Arabidopsis thaliana: one gene and its partner. The protein of the gene in region 1 interacts with the protein of each later gene in a pairwise test. Each region holds a gene or a part of one and is shown on either strand. Other genes may lie near its edges.

The links. Proteins that work in one complex are often made in the same cells at the same time.
Region 2: the proteins of PRA1.C (region 1) and AT1G47670 interact in a protein complementation assay, tested with the Arabidopsis thaliana proteins (one large-scale study listed by BioGRID).

The regions. Positions count from the first base shown.
Region 1 is NC_003075.7:14,531,228-14,537,433, reverse strand, and holds PRA1.C (prenylated RAB acceptor 1.C), read left to right. Parts: upstream 1-3,360; 5' UTR 3,361-3,414; coding exon 3,415-3,987; 3' UTR 3,988-4,497; downstream 4,498-6,206. Other genes in the region: ACHT2 (atypical CYS HIS rich thioredoxin 2), read left to right, coding at 326-577, 879-1,058, 1,173-1,451; EMB2752 (embryo defective 2752), read left to right, coding at 2,263-2,454, 2,820-2,939; AT4G29654 (Protein kinase superfamily protein), read left to right, coding at 4,980-5,008, 5,220-5,291, 5,383-5,522, 5,598-5,833.
Region 2 is NC_003070.9:17,534,583-17,542,734, reverse strand, and holds AT1G47670 (Transmembrane amino acid transporter family protein), read left to right. Parts: upstream 1-3,015; 5' UTR 3,016-3,248; coding exon 3,249-3,625; intron 3,626-4,320; coding exon 4,321-4,454; intron 4,455-4,584; coding exon 4,585-5,012; intron 5,013-5,094; coding exon 5,095-5,226; intron 5,227-5,412; coding exon 5,413-5,901; 3' UTR 5,902-6,110; downstream 6,111-8,152. Other genes in the region: AT1G47680 (uncharacterized protein), read right to left, coding at 1,646-1,960; AT1G47660 (uncharacterized protein), read left to right, coding at 7,184-7,554, 7,656-7,804; AT1G47657 (uncharacterized protein), read right to left, coding at 7,561-7,811, 7,979-7,995. UniProt on the Arabidopsis thaliana protein: Amino acid transporter.

The DNA of each region.
Region 1 (6,206 bases):
GTAAATAAGTTTGTTATGTGTGTAAAGAAAAAAGCATTACTTATCTGCGTTCCGTGTTAAAACACGATTCTAACGGAGAAACAAAAACGCGTTTACGCTTTTTCAACTATCATATCGACAAAACGCCAAGTGGATGATGGCGGTTTAAACGCTATTTAATGTTGAAAAATCGCGTCTATGTATAATTGGAGAGACATGATGAGAGAAATATCACTGGAATCTGAACCAGACAGTTTCTGATCTTCTTCTCCTTAGAGGATCTCTCGGAGAAGATTCAAAACCAAGAACAATCTCAGTCTCTATCTCTCTCTCTGGGTGCATTTAGATGGCTGGAGTTGTGCGATTAACGACGACGTCGGTTCAAGCCATTCGTGTCTCCTCGTCCTTCAGCTCCTTTGCCACCGCTCTTAATCCTCTGCAACCTTGCTTACCTCCAAACTCGAATCTGAATTCCGACAAGAGATTGCGTCTTCTCTCATCTTCTCCTTCCTGCTCGTCTTCTCATTACCACCCATCTTCTGGTCTCGGAAGCCATCTCCCCCTTAGACGACCCAAGAGCCAAGTGGTTCGTGTCAAGGTACAAATGTCTTGCCTTTTAGCTGATTCTGTCCGTAAATCGTATACCCTTTTGGAAATTGAGACTCTTGAGCCCATTTCTGATCTCTTGTTATTCGATTTGGTCTTTCGCCTCTAGCTAGAGCCTAAACGTGAATTGTGACCTTAGCTCACTGTTATGTTCTCATTCCACTTCAGATGTTTAGAATTTAGTCTAAAGTTTCAGTTTTTTTGTTAGAGACGGTGATGCTATTGATTGCTTTGATTAGATGGTGATGCTTTCGGCCATAGTTTTATGTTTCTGATGTGGGTTTGTGGTGTAGGTAGATGAAAATGTAGCCGAGACAGAGCCACCGAAATGGTGGGAGAGGAATGCTCCAAACATGGTCGATATTCATTCTACTGAAGAGTTCTTGAGCGCTTTAAGCGGTGCGGGTGAAAGATTAGTTATTGTAGAGTTTTATGGAACTTGGTGTGCTTCTTGCAGAGCATTGTTCCCAAAGGTTAGTGTCATGTGACGTATCTATTCCATGAAACTATAAGAGTTTCATTTCTCTTTCGTGATTCTGTGAGAAATTTAGATGTTTTTTTTGTGTCTGTTTTGAAAATGTTTTCAGCTTTGCAAGACAGCGGTGGAACATCCCGATATAGTGTTCCTTAAAGTAAACTTTGATGAGAATAAACCGATGTGCAAGAGTTTGAACGTGAGAGTGCTTCCTTTTTTCCACTTTTACCGTGGAGCTGATGGTCAGCTTGAGTCATTCTCATGTTCTCTTGCTAAGGTAAAGAAGGCTATTTCGGTTTCACCTTTTCCGCAACTAGAGCTTGGCATAACGCTTCAAACAAAGAGAACTACTTCGTTGTTCTTTTTCGATAGGATCTATCAAATATTATAGACCCTTTGCTGATATTGATACCAAAACCGGTTGAATGCATTTGGTCTGTCTCTGATTACTATTTGACATCCTCTTCTTTTGAATATTTGTGTGTATTCAGTTTCAGAAGATAAAAGATGCAATCCAACTGCACAATACCGATCGTTGCAGCCTCGGTCCAGCCAAGGTACCTGAAGGCTTAACATTAGCCAAACCAGCTGCATCAAGTTGAAGTGCCAGATTTTTAGATATATTACTAAGGCAACAATCTTTGGTTGCTCAAGCAAATACTCAGCTTAAAATTCTGTATATCGTCATATTTTTGGGTGTAAAAGAATACTTCCTAAAGCCAGTTACGATTCTTCTGCTAATAGTCAATTGCAAATGTATTTTCACTACTGCTGTTCTTTATTGCTTTAAAGCAAGCTTATTGATGAAGTCATGTGAGGTTGCATAAGTCTCATTTCCATAGTTTTGGGGTAAATTTATAACTTTCTCAACTTACCGAACGATAGTGAAAAACAAATACATAGCACAATGGTTACAATAATCATGTGTTGTGATTACAATTTACAAATTTACAAGAATCATATCAAATAAGATTTTTTAAAAATTTACAAATGTGAGCTCAAGACTTTTAAGTGTTAAAGATAAGTTAAGGGCTGAAAACTAAAACATGTAGGAATAAGAGGACTGTTTGGTAAACGTTTTAACGTTTAAAGTCTTGCCTTTTGATATCAGATTTTTCTCAGGTTCCCACGCGCCGCCGCGAAACAGCTAGACGGAGAAATCCAAAATTCGGCGAAGGTTTGAGAAGAGAGAAATCTGAGAGATGCAAGGAGTGTGGAGCCAACTATGGAGGAAATATGCTGATTATAAGTACAATAAGTTCGAGAGATTTGCTGTTTGGGAAATGATCGAACCTTACCGTCGACCAAAAACCTTCACAACTTTGATTACTATCTATGTCGCCGCCTTTTACACCGGCGTCATCGGCGCTGCAGTTACAGAGCAGCTCTACAAGGTCAGCTTCGTATTGTTATCGATTCAGGCCCGGAATTGCTATTAGATTTGTGGGTTCTAATTTGATTCTCGTGATTGGTAAATGTTAGGGTTCGAAATGTGATAAAATTGGAAATGATTCATTGTTGATTACTAATAAAGGATTGTGTGATCATGAAAAGAACTATACTTGAATTGCTTTTCATGGGAATGGTTCATTAGGTCTTTCAATGAAGCTTTTACGTCTTGATTAGTATCTAATCTAATTCATTGTTCTGTAGTATATTGTATTCTTTGTCAATGTGTTTCTTACACTGTTTTGTGTTAGTATCAGTTATGTTTCTTGTTTGAGTGTGAACTTTATGTTACTCCACTCTCTGTAAACAGGAGAAGTTTTGGGAAGAGCACCCAGGGAAAACAGTGCCTCTGATGAAGCCAGTATTCTATCGAGGACCATGGAGAGTTTATCGTGGTGAGGCTATTGCTTCAGATGCTAGCAGCCAGTGAAGCTAACGATTAGGCTATCAGAGACTATGGTGAAGGATGTATCTCCGACTTTGATACGCAGATATAAATGGATTTATACTGGTTCACTAGTATATGTATATCAAAAAACTTCTTTTGGTTCAGTAGAATGTTTGTGTCTGTATTTCGAGTCTAATGACTCTCTTAAGAATCTATTTTCTAGAAATTACATGTAATGACAGTCTCGTTATAGTATAAGGATTTGATTTGAGAAGTTTAAGGGTATCCATTCATTCCTTTGAATATCTCTGCTTGTATCTGCCTCTCTTCTGGTGTCCTGAAATAAAACATTCCCAAATAAGATAGATGATCTAACTACCTCAGAAACATTGAGCCAACACAGATTTTTCTCTTCAAATTAGGTTGCTTCACATTCTTTAGTCCATATAGATTCCTCTGGGGACGTACTCTGTTTCTTTCCTTCCTTTTTTTTTTTGTTTGTTGCTTGTGAAAGAATATGACAACCTATGGCACTATACCATCCCAAGAAAATGCTTCGTCGAGCCTGAGCTTATTAGGACGAGCCAAAGAATTGATCTCGTTAGGTCTTAGCTCTCAAAGGCCATGGCTTGAACTTGTCCAATGTAGTGCCTTTAGCCTTCCTATCTCCTTTAGCGTTGCCACTGAACGAATCAAATCCAACATCATGATCTTTCGAACCAACTACATTGTTATCTTCATTGTTAGTATCTTCATCAGCATGCTTTGGCAACCCGTCCACCTTTCCGTCTTTGTTATCTTGATAGTAGCATGGCTATATGTCTACTCCCGTGATAATGAACCATGGGTGATATTTGGCAGTGTGATCGATGATTCTACTTTGGTGCTGGTTTTGTTGGTCCTCACGATCGGTATATTTCTACTAACAGATGTATCCCGCGGTATTGTGATCGGGGTTTTGGCTGGTTTGCCCGTTGTTCTGGTTCATGGCATGTGTAGGAGGAATACAGAGATGTTGTTCGTCTTGGAAGATGATGAAGAGAAAGTGGCAATGAACACATCATCTTCGTCACTTTCTTCTTCCTCTTAAGTCTTCACAATTGAGCACAAGATTTTCAGTTTTTCTTTCCTGAATTTGTCTACATAGTTCAAAACAACGCATATCCAGTGAAGGAACGTTAACATGCTGCAAAAAGAACTTGAGCTCTTTTGCGATCAAAATTCAGGATGTGGATATTGATGTACTGATGCATGTCAGAGACCTTGGTGACAAATAAAAGGCAATTTTGCGTGCTGATTAAAAACATTATCCTATGATAGAATTCCTATCTAATTATCTCCAACAAGCCAATACAATAACGAAGACAAGTGTGATCCTCTTCTCAGTTATCACTTATTACAAATTATCCAATCGATTCTCTCATTTTCAACAATTACGAATTGAAAGGTTGTAACTTTATATGAACAATGATCTAGTTTTTAATTTTATCACAACAATTATCAAGTTCAAATGCAATAGGGATTTGGCTATATATACCATTTTACTTTTTAGACACGACATGAAGAAGTAGTTAGACCATCTCCAACAAAGAGAACCCCAAAAAATTCTCAAATAAAAAAAATATTAATATTTTACTATAATTTGATTATACAATTAAATTTTTATTTTAGTAAAAAAATTAGATAATTGTAAAAGAGATAAGTGTTTAAAAGGAACTCTCTAAAATATCTGAGGTGGTTTAGACGTCTCGCTAATATCAACCGGCCTAGTCCCAGAGTGAATACAATATTTTTACATTTGGTAAATGTTAAGCAAAACCAACTAAGACTTATTCCTAATAAACATATTTAATTTATTTATTTCAAAGAGATAATTACATAGGTTTATATTGTCTATGAAGAATTATTTTGTTTATAATTTTTTTAATATGTTATAGTGTTCTAGAATTACCAAAATATAAAGTTTGTTAATCATGTTTAATTTAAAGCAAAAAAAGAAGATAAAACATAAGAAAAACAAAAGCAAACTACAAGCAAAATATATATAAATTTTCAAGATTTCTCCTTATTCCTCCAAACTCTATGCATTTTAAAATAGTTGGTTTGAGGATGTATTGTTTATTATTTCGTTATTATCATGCTTTATATATATTTTTGAACTTTTTGGATCAAAAATAACAAATCTAAGTATTTTGACAATAATTTTAAATACGATCATTTAATATCCTCAAATTTTACAAAAAAGCTGATCGAAAAAAGTAGTCCAATCGATATTACCGTTATTTTTCTCTTAAAAGTTTTTGTTTTTTTGTAGGGTTTCAGATTTTGGTTTGACCCGATCTACAGCAGAGGGCAACGAATCAATCATGACAAAGTCTATCCTCGGCACATATGGTTACATGGCACCTGAATACGCATGTATGCTTCTTCTCTAATCTGTTAATGTTTATTACATCGGATCACCAATGTTATTGTTATCTAACAGCTTAAACTTTGTAAGTGCATTGATTGGAAGGGTAACTACAAAAGCTGATGTCTACAGTTTTGGAGTTATTCTCATGGAGTTAGTCACAAGCAAGGAAGCTTTAGACAAGAAGCGATCAGATGCTGAACATCACATTCTCAGTTGGTTCAGGAGAGTCTGCATCGACAAAAACTCTTTTAGAGAAGCCATTGACGAAACAATTTAAGTGAATGAAGAGAACCGCAACATCATTGACGACGTAGCGAGACTAGCAATTCACTGCTGCGCCAAGGAGCTCACTCAGAGACCAGAGATGAAGTATGTTGTCTCTACACTTACCTCACTCTGTGACACTTGGAAGCCTAGTGAAATCGTAGACAACGACAGGGAGGACACAAGTGTATTAGAACTTGTAAAGAGATGGAAGGAGCAAGAGATGGAGGGAAGCAGCAGCGGTATCATTGTGGTTTGATGGAACTTCTATAGATATGTAGTGTGATGTAGAGTTTATGGTTCATTTGTATAGTAGAAGTGTAAGTTTTGAATATGATTAAGTTCAAAGTCTAACCTCTTCGTCATGATTTTTGTTTCAAATTTGTGGTTTCTTGGTCAATGTGAAGCAGGGATTCTTTATTCACTAGTATATATAGCTTTGTTATGCCTCAATTTTTATTTTGATTTCGCTTTATTCAAGGTTTTCGTGTCTCAATTTAGGGTATCGTTATTGAATTTCTTGGGCTTCAATTTAGGGTTTCTTTATTGAATCTTTGGGGTTTTACCCTCTCGCAAGTTAAGCTAATATATACATTATTCGAAAGATATCTTGAATGTAGAGCTTGATGTAC
Region 2 (8,152 bases), on another chromosome or scaffold:
AAAGAGGTAATAACTTCTTCTTTTTTGTCAATCATTATTAAATTATTGTTCAAACGGGCCATTTCTTAGAAGATATAATAACTTTATTAATTACTTTCTAATATTGTCATGTAAATTTAAGATAAAGGTTAACGGGCTTTTGGTGCGTAAAATCTTTTATTTTCAAATAACTTTATTAATTACTTTCTAATATTGTCATGTAAATTTAAGATAAAGGTTAACGGGCTTTTGGTGCGTAAAATCTTTTATTTTCAAACTTTATAATAGATATATTTAAAATCGAACCGTGAACATGATATTATTGTAGTGAATAGAAAATTTAGGAAAACATAAAATTTTGTCTTATTTCACTTAAAATAAATAATTGCATACAGAAAAATATATTTTAAGGATTGTTTTGATAATGTTTTGCAATTCAAGTGTAAGAACTGGTGGAGCATGAATCCAATAGATTCCAATGGAGTTATGTATAAATCACAATGAGATTAACTATATGAAATCATAGTTAGGGAAATTAAAGATTAAGGTTTATAAATGTATTTTGGACAAAAAGAGGAATAAAATACAAGTAATTAATATCTTTGCCTAGATAACCTCAATACAATTTGAACTTCAAATGAACTTGGATGGTAAGATATATTATAGAAAAAGTTTGGAGTAGAAAATTTTGAATTATAATTCCTAATATTTCAATAATATTTTTTTGCCTATCATTGTTTCAGTAATATCTACAATATATTCTAAAGATAATTTTTGGAAAAAATCTTCATTGATATTATATATAAATCACATCCCATATTTGAATGAACAAATATTTTTCTACCTATGAAAAATTCAAAATTTTGACTAATAATATGCATAACACTACTTTATATACATTTAAAGTCTCATGTTTTTCTAAAATAATATACTATTTATAGTAATTGGAATAAATTCATTTGACCCTCGAGGAGATATATTTTAATATAAATTATAAATATTATTATTTTGGTACTACAACAAGGATTAAAACCTTATTATGATATTTTGACATGTCGAAACATGTTGATTTAGTTAAAATTGTGTGGAAAAATTTTTGTTTATGATATATCGTGGGCTAATTAAATTTCGGTGTGTTGCAATGTATCATACTCATTTCAGCTTTCTTAGCTAAATATTACTTGTACTTCAATGACTAGTACAAAACACCCAAATACCATGACCTTGCTTGTTTTGATATTCTCTAATAAAACCCAACTTGGTTTAAACATCTCTAAAATCTGACTTAGTTCCAAGATTGACCAATCATCTACCTTCTTGAGATGCAGCCTCGTGATTATACTTCTTGACTCTTCATCTAGTTTCTTTAGATGTAGTCCCATGATCTTTCAATGACGTACGACTTCTCTCCACATATCATTTAGAATCTTCATTAGATACCTGGAGACTCCTCCTCTATGCAACATCGATTGAACTCCCTTGAAGTAAAGTCTCCTCCTTTATCGGTACAAAAGGTTTTAATAGACAAGCCGACTTGCTTCTCTAAAACTCTTGAAAAGCTTTTGAACCGATCAAAACTTGAATGAATATGTCAACAAGGAACCATCTTGTTCTTGTTGACTGATTCAAACTCCTCTTCACATCTTTCCTCCATTAAAGCACATCTTTAGCCTCTTGGCTCATTACTTGTTGAAAGTTGACGTCTCTTACTTTTAACATAAGCTTGGTGGAACAATCCATAAGTTGTTTCGGACTGCATAACATAGTCTTCAAGGTACCGCGACTGACTTATTTGTCGACCCGACCTTCTCAGTTGTGGTACTCCTTGAACTACTTCACCAACCTCATTATGGTATTTTTTAGTGATATCCTCCATGCCATCATCTTCTTCATGTACTTCTCCAACATCTTCTCTGTGAATCAACTCCAATATGATATAACCGAGCATGTCATGTCCTTGTAGCTTCAGTAGAAAGTCCATCGACAAGTGATGTTGGATAATTCCTAACTTGAAGAGCAAGATATCTCCTTTTAGTAGATGGTAGAAGAGATACAAGAAAATAAAATACAAATAACGTCAAGTTGGACATAATTTGTAACTCTTCCTTTTCAAATCATGACTAAACTCTAAATTTAGATGTAATTTAGCTTAGTGGTAGGTCAGAGCAAATGGATTTGGTTTATACGTTTGCAATTATGTAATTCCATGGATGTAGTTTGAAAGACCAAACTTCATTACAATTATGTGTATCAATTTATTTTGCTTACTCGTATCTATTTTATCACTAGAATACAAAGATTTTGCTAACTCCAAATCTATTATTTTCAGACAAGCATATCCTGTAAATCTTCAATCATCCAAAAAGTGATGTTGAGTTTAGATCCAACTCCAAAATGTATTTATCTTATTTTTAAGTAAAAAACTGAAGAAATGAGTTTGCGAATCTTTTAAATAGTTATTTTGTATAATGCATATTAGAGAAAGAACAAAGATAAATTTTTGTATCAAATATTTAAACTGAGTTAATGGTGGTTTATGAAGGGTGTTATAGTGCATTCACTCCCTTATATAATCGATATCTCTAATCCCTTGGTAAAATTAAATTGTTGTATTGAATTTTTTTATGAAAGAGTAAGGTGAGTTGCAAATTTTGCTTGGCCTCAAAAATTCTTCTCTCTATTTTTTCATTTACATGTTTGAAGTGTTACTTTTTACTTTGCTAAGATATTTCAGTGTTACTTTTTAATCTACATATTTCATTGTTATTTTTTAATTTACATATATCAATGTTATTTTTCCACTCAGATAAGGTGAAATATTTCAGCTAACTTAAAGTGATTATGATCATCAACACCTATTTCATGTCAATTTTTTGCTAAAAAATAAACAAATTGGTCATAATGTTCAAAAACTTGACCTCACCATCATAATACTTAGTACTTACTGGTCAAACAAACATATGTTCAGAACTTTTGTATTGATGGGGAAGGTTACTTTTGTCGTAATGTTACAAAAAAAAAATTGTTACTGTTGAGACCATTATAAATAATCATGTCATGTTCTTTAATTATCAACTTTGATTGTCATTTAATTGTAAATTTCGTTAGTTAATCTGTCCTCTTCTTGTAATTAAATAAAAATTTGTTTCAATACCAATAAAGTTGTCCTAAAAAAAACCACCCCTCTAAATAGGGAGTGAGTGAGAGAGAGAGTGATAGTGAGAACAAAAAAAAAACATCATTTCTTCTCGCACTCTTCACCTGCTCCAATGGACGAAAGACCCGAGACAGAGCTAATATCAATACCAGCCACACCACGAGTTTCAACACCGGAGATTCTAACTCCCTCCGGTCAAAGATCACCTCGTCCGGCCACCAAACCATCGTCGGCGACATGGACTCCGACTTCGTTCATATCACCGAGGTTCTTGAGTCCGATTGGTACACCAATGAAACGAGTTCTTGTGAACATGAAAGGGTATCTTGAAGAAGTTGGTCATCTCACTAAGCTAAACCCACAAGATGCTTGGCTTCCAATCACTGAATCTCGTAATGGAAACGCTCATTACGCTGCTTTTCACAATCTCAACGCTGGTGTTGGTTTTCAAGCCCTTGTTCTTCCCGTCGCGTTTGCGTTTCTTGGCTGGTGCGTTTGCGTTTTTCTTGATTTTTCCAATAATCTTTTTTCTTGTTTTTGAGTTTTTTCTTGAACTTTGTGTTTAGTGTTTCAAGATTATTTTTGTTTAGTGAACGGCGAGGGTTTATTCGACTCTCTGTGGTGCTCAGATCCAGTTTCAGGGTTCACTTTACTTGTTTGGGCAAAAATCAAAAATGTTTTTCTTGTCGGAAATAATAATAGGATATTGACTAATTTACTTTTTAACTTTGAAAACATTTCAATTTTAGCAGTAGATATTTTCTTTTTAATTTGTCATGCTTCCATCATTACACATGTGGATACTCACAGACATACTTTTTTGCTTTAATTTGGATTAAGACAGAGCCTTCTTTATCGTCTACTTTGTTTCTTGTTAATTTCCGGCAAAAAACACTTTTCTGAAAAGTATTTATTGTGTATATATAAGTAGGGCATGTAGTTGACGTCATAATAGATGACTATTTCTTCTTATAAACTTATATTTAGATAAATATTTTTTATTGCAAGTTCTAATATTTGAAACTATACATAACTTGTTAAGGTGGAGCATTTGGCTAGTTCAATACTTAAATAGCTTAGTGATGAATAATGATATTGCAATGATCATGTATTTGAGATTCTTATGTAAGAAAATGCACATATATTATTTCCAAACTTCAAGAAGTGAATTATTGTTGTTACAGGAGTTGGGGAATACTGTCTTTAACAATAGCATATTGCTGGCAACTCTACACACTGTGGATTCTGGTTCAGTTGCACGAAGCTGTCCCCGGGAAACGCTACAATCGATATGTCGAGCTTGCACAAGCTGCTTTTGGTAAAATGATAAATTTAGTTTTACATTAAGAATGATGAAATAATGCATCAATAGTGACAATTATTATTGATACTAATTTTGTGTCTTGCTAAGTTGCTATTACTAAATCTTGTACTCTTGATTGGAACAGGAGAAAGGTTAGGAGTATGGCTTGCATTGTTTCCTACGGTTTACTTATCAGCAGGAACCGCGACAGCGCTGATTCTGATCGGTGGAGAGACAATGAAACTCTTCTTCCAGATAGTTTGCGGTCCATTATGCACCTCGAATCCGTTAACAACAGTTGAATGGTATTTGGTGTTTACATCTCTCTGCATCGTTCTGTCTCAGCTACCAAACCTCAATTCTATTGCGGGACTCTCCTTAATAGGAGCAGTGACTGCAATAACTTACTCCACAATGGTTTGGGTTCTCTCTGTGAGCCAACCAAGACCAGCCACTATCTCATACGAGCCTCTTTCTATGCCTTCGACTTCTGGTTCACTCTTCGCTGTTTTGAATGCTCTTGGCATTATAGCTTTTGCCTTCAGAGGTCACAACTTGGTTTTGGAAATTCAGGTAAAATATGCAAAATATTTCTGTCTATAGATAATGCACATATTGGACTTATGATTTATTCTGAGTATTGAAAACTTTGTAGTCGACGATGCCATCAACGTTTAAGCATCCTGCTCACGTACCAATGTGGAGAGGAGCCAAAATCTCTTACTTCCTCATTGCTCTGTGTATCTTTCCAATCTCCATCGGAGGCTTTTGGGCTTATGGGAACCTTGTAAGTTCCATTTACTATATCTTTTGTTTATGTCTTGTCAGTGAAGGATGTTTATCTGGTGTTTGGTTCATGTTAGTGAAATATAGAATTCAAAAGGAACACTAATATCATTTATTTATAGTTCGTTTTCTGATCTTTGGTTCAATTTCCGGATTAGTTTGAAGTTATTTTTTCTTGGTCTTATAGATGCCTTCAGGAGGTATGCTTGCTGCTTTGTATGCATTCCACATTCACGATATCCCGAGAGGCTTATTAGCGACGGCATTTCTCCTAGTAGTCTTCAGCTGCTTGAGCAGTTTTCAGATATACTCCATGCCTGCCTTTGACAGCTTTGAAGCTGGCTACACAAGCAGAACCAACAAGCCGTGTTCGATTTGGGTCAGATCAGGTTTCCGAGTCTTTTTTGGTTTTGTCTCGTTTTTCATCGGTGTTGCTCTCCCTTTTCTGTCTAGTCTTGCGGGGTTGCTCGGTGGACTCACTCTCCCGGTCACATTTGCTTATCCTTGCTTCATGTGGGTCTTGATTAAGAAACCGGCGAAATACAGTTTCAATTGGTATTTCCATTGGGGATTAGGTTGGTTGGGAGTTGCATTCAGCTTGGCATTCTCCATAGGTGGGATCTGGAGTATGGTTACCAATGGACTTAAGCTCAAGTTCTTCAAGCCGCCTAACTAAGTAGTAATAGCCTATGTGGTTTTGTTTGGTTGGGAAGTTTGAAGTTTTAAGAGATTTTGTATTTCTGTGTTTTGTTTAAGAGTGCCTATGTTTTGAAGTTGGAACAATGTAATGTGTATTATAATTCAGTAAGCTTTTCAATATAAAGAATTTGGAATTTTGAAGAATCACACTTGTGTGCCTCTGTTGAATCCCTAGCTGGAATTTTCCCAACGTGGTTTTCTCTTTTCCATCTTTTTTTCAAATTATTTTGATACTACTAAAAATAACGATACATGAGTATTAAACTAAATTAAGCTAGATCAAGAATTCGGATTCAAAGTAATCGTTTTAGTGTATGAAAGATGATATTCTCGGATGATCTTTTGTTCTGCACAACTTTTTGGATCCTGCGGGAAGAGGGAAAGTATATAGAATTACATGATATCATATGTTGATATCAAGCGACTTGACATAAGAATTGGTGAAGCTCATGTTTGATGAAAATTGATGTACAAGTATACCCCTGTCGACGGACGACTGCACTACGATTTGTATAAGAGCAGATACGGGGCATGTTTTTAGAGTGTCTTTTTGTACATGAGAATTTAGATGTGTGCATGGTTTCATGTCTATTACGCATTTAATACCCTCAATGTACATCGAGTCGATTTCTCTGTCATGTTCTAGGTGAAGTGTCGGACCGCCAATGAGATTGTGGGATACGGGCTTTGCCCTCCATGCCCAATTCGGCCCAAACACAAATAGAACAAGTCAAGAAAGCTACTAACAAGGAAGAACGGCCCATCAGAACAACGGCCCATCAGAATGACTGCTCGGCCCATCACAGCTCGGCCCATCACGGTTTGGCCCAGCCCGATAAATTCAGAAGGGCAAAACGGAGAAATCGCTAGAGAGACTAAGAGAACCCTAGATCAGCTTCTTGCCTATAAATAAGAGGAGACACTACTAAGAAGAGGGATCCAGAACCTAAGTCACCACTCAGAGGATTTAAGAGAGAATTGCTGCCTACCTCTTTATCTCTTATTTTCTGGTTTTCCGTTCTGTATTTTCTGGTTTTCCGACCATTAATATCGATTTTCCGACCTGTACTTTCGGTTCTCCGTTCTGTACTTACGGTTTTCCGTTCTGTTAATTATTGTCTTTTCGTTCGTCATTAATAAAGAAGCTACTCCGTTCTCCCCAAACCCCTTAATAATTATTGTTACAACCTCGGTACAAACAATTGGCGCCCACCGTGGGGCTAGGCAGAGTTTTCTTCTGATATTGACGAGCAGCTACGATGTTGCCAGTAATCCCGGAGAGCCACGACGAGATGACGGAAACCTCGAACGAACAAGGAGTCAGAACCATCGCGCCTCGTGCCGCACCACCAGCTCGGCCAACGACGCCACCACCAGCTCGGCCAACGACGCCACCACCAGTTTGGCCAACGACGCCACCTCCAGCCGGAGCTCCTGTCGCAGTTCCAGCCGCAGCTCATGTCGCAGTTCCAGCCGCAGCTCCTGTCGCAGCTCCTGCCGAACTCGGAGAAACAACTTCACGAAGAACCAATCTTGACGAAGTCATCCGATCTTTCCTCGACCGACTCGACTTACAGAACACAAGAACTACCGAACGCATCAACGTGATTGTCGCTGCCCAGAAGGCATCGTAGAATCAGATCGAGCAACTCCAGTCCTCCGCAGCTCGCGCCGGTCGACAGCTCAGCGATGACAAAACAGTCCCGCCCCAGTAACTCTTTTCATGGAAAGACCGGTGAACCGACGCAATAGGCCTGCTTCTATCGTTGTTGGGTCCATCGACGAGCACACCCGTGAAAATGCGCTGAACCGTGACAACCGGCCGAACATCGACACTCGAACATACCGAATAGAAGACCACTATATCGGTGCGAGCGATCGTGAGCTCTAAAAATTACAAACTACTATGAAGGATATAACTCTGCTCAGCACCAAAGTTAGACCTTTCTTCAACTGAATCAACCAACATGATGCAAAGACGGCCGAGCACCTCAACATAACCGTTGAAAGAGTAGGGAATCAAGCATACCCCTCAAGCCGACCCGGTTACTCACCTGCACCTGCTATCTTCCTTCAAAGGCTGCCAAGACTGACTATTCCAATCTCAATAAAACTGCAACCAAGAGGACTTAACTTGACAAACTCGTCTTAACCGACCTCGACCCGACTCGATAGCCACCATCTTCTTCGTCCAGCTCGTTGCCTAGCCGCCAGTTTGTCGCATGGCA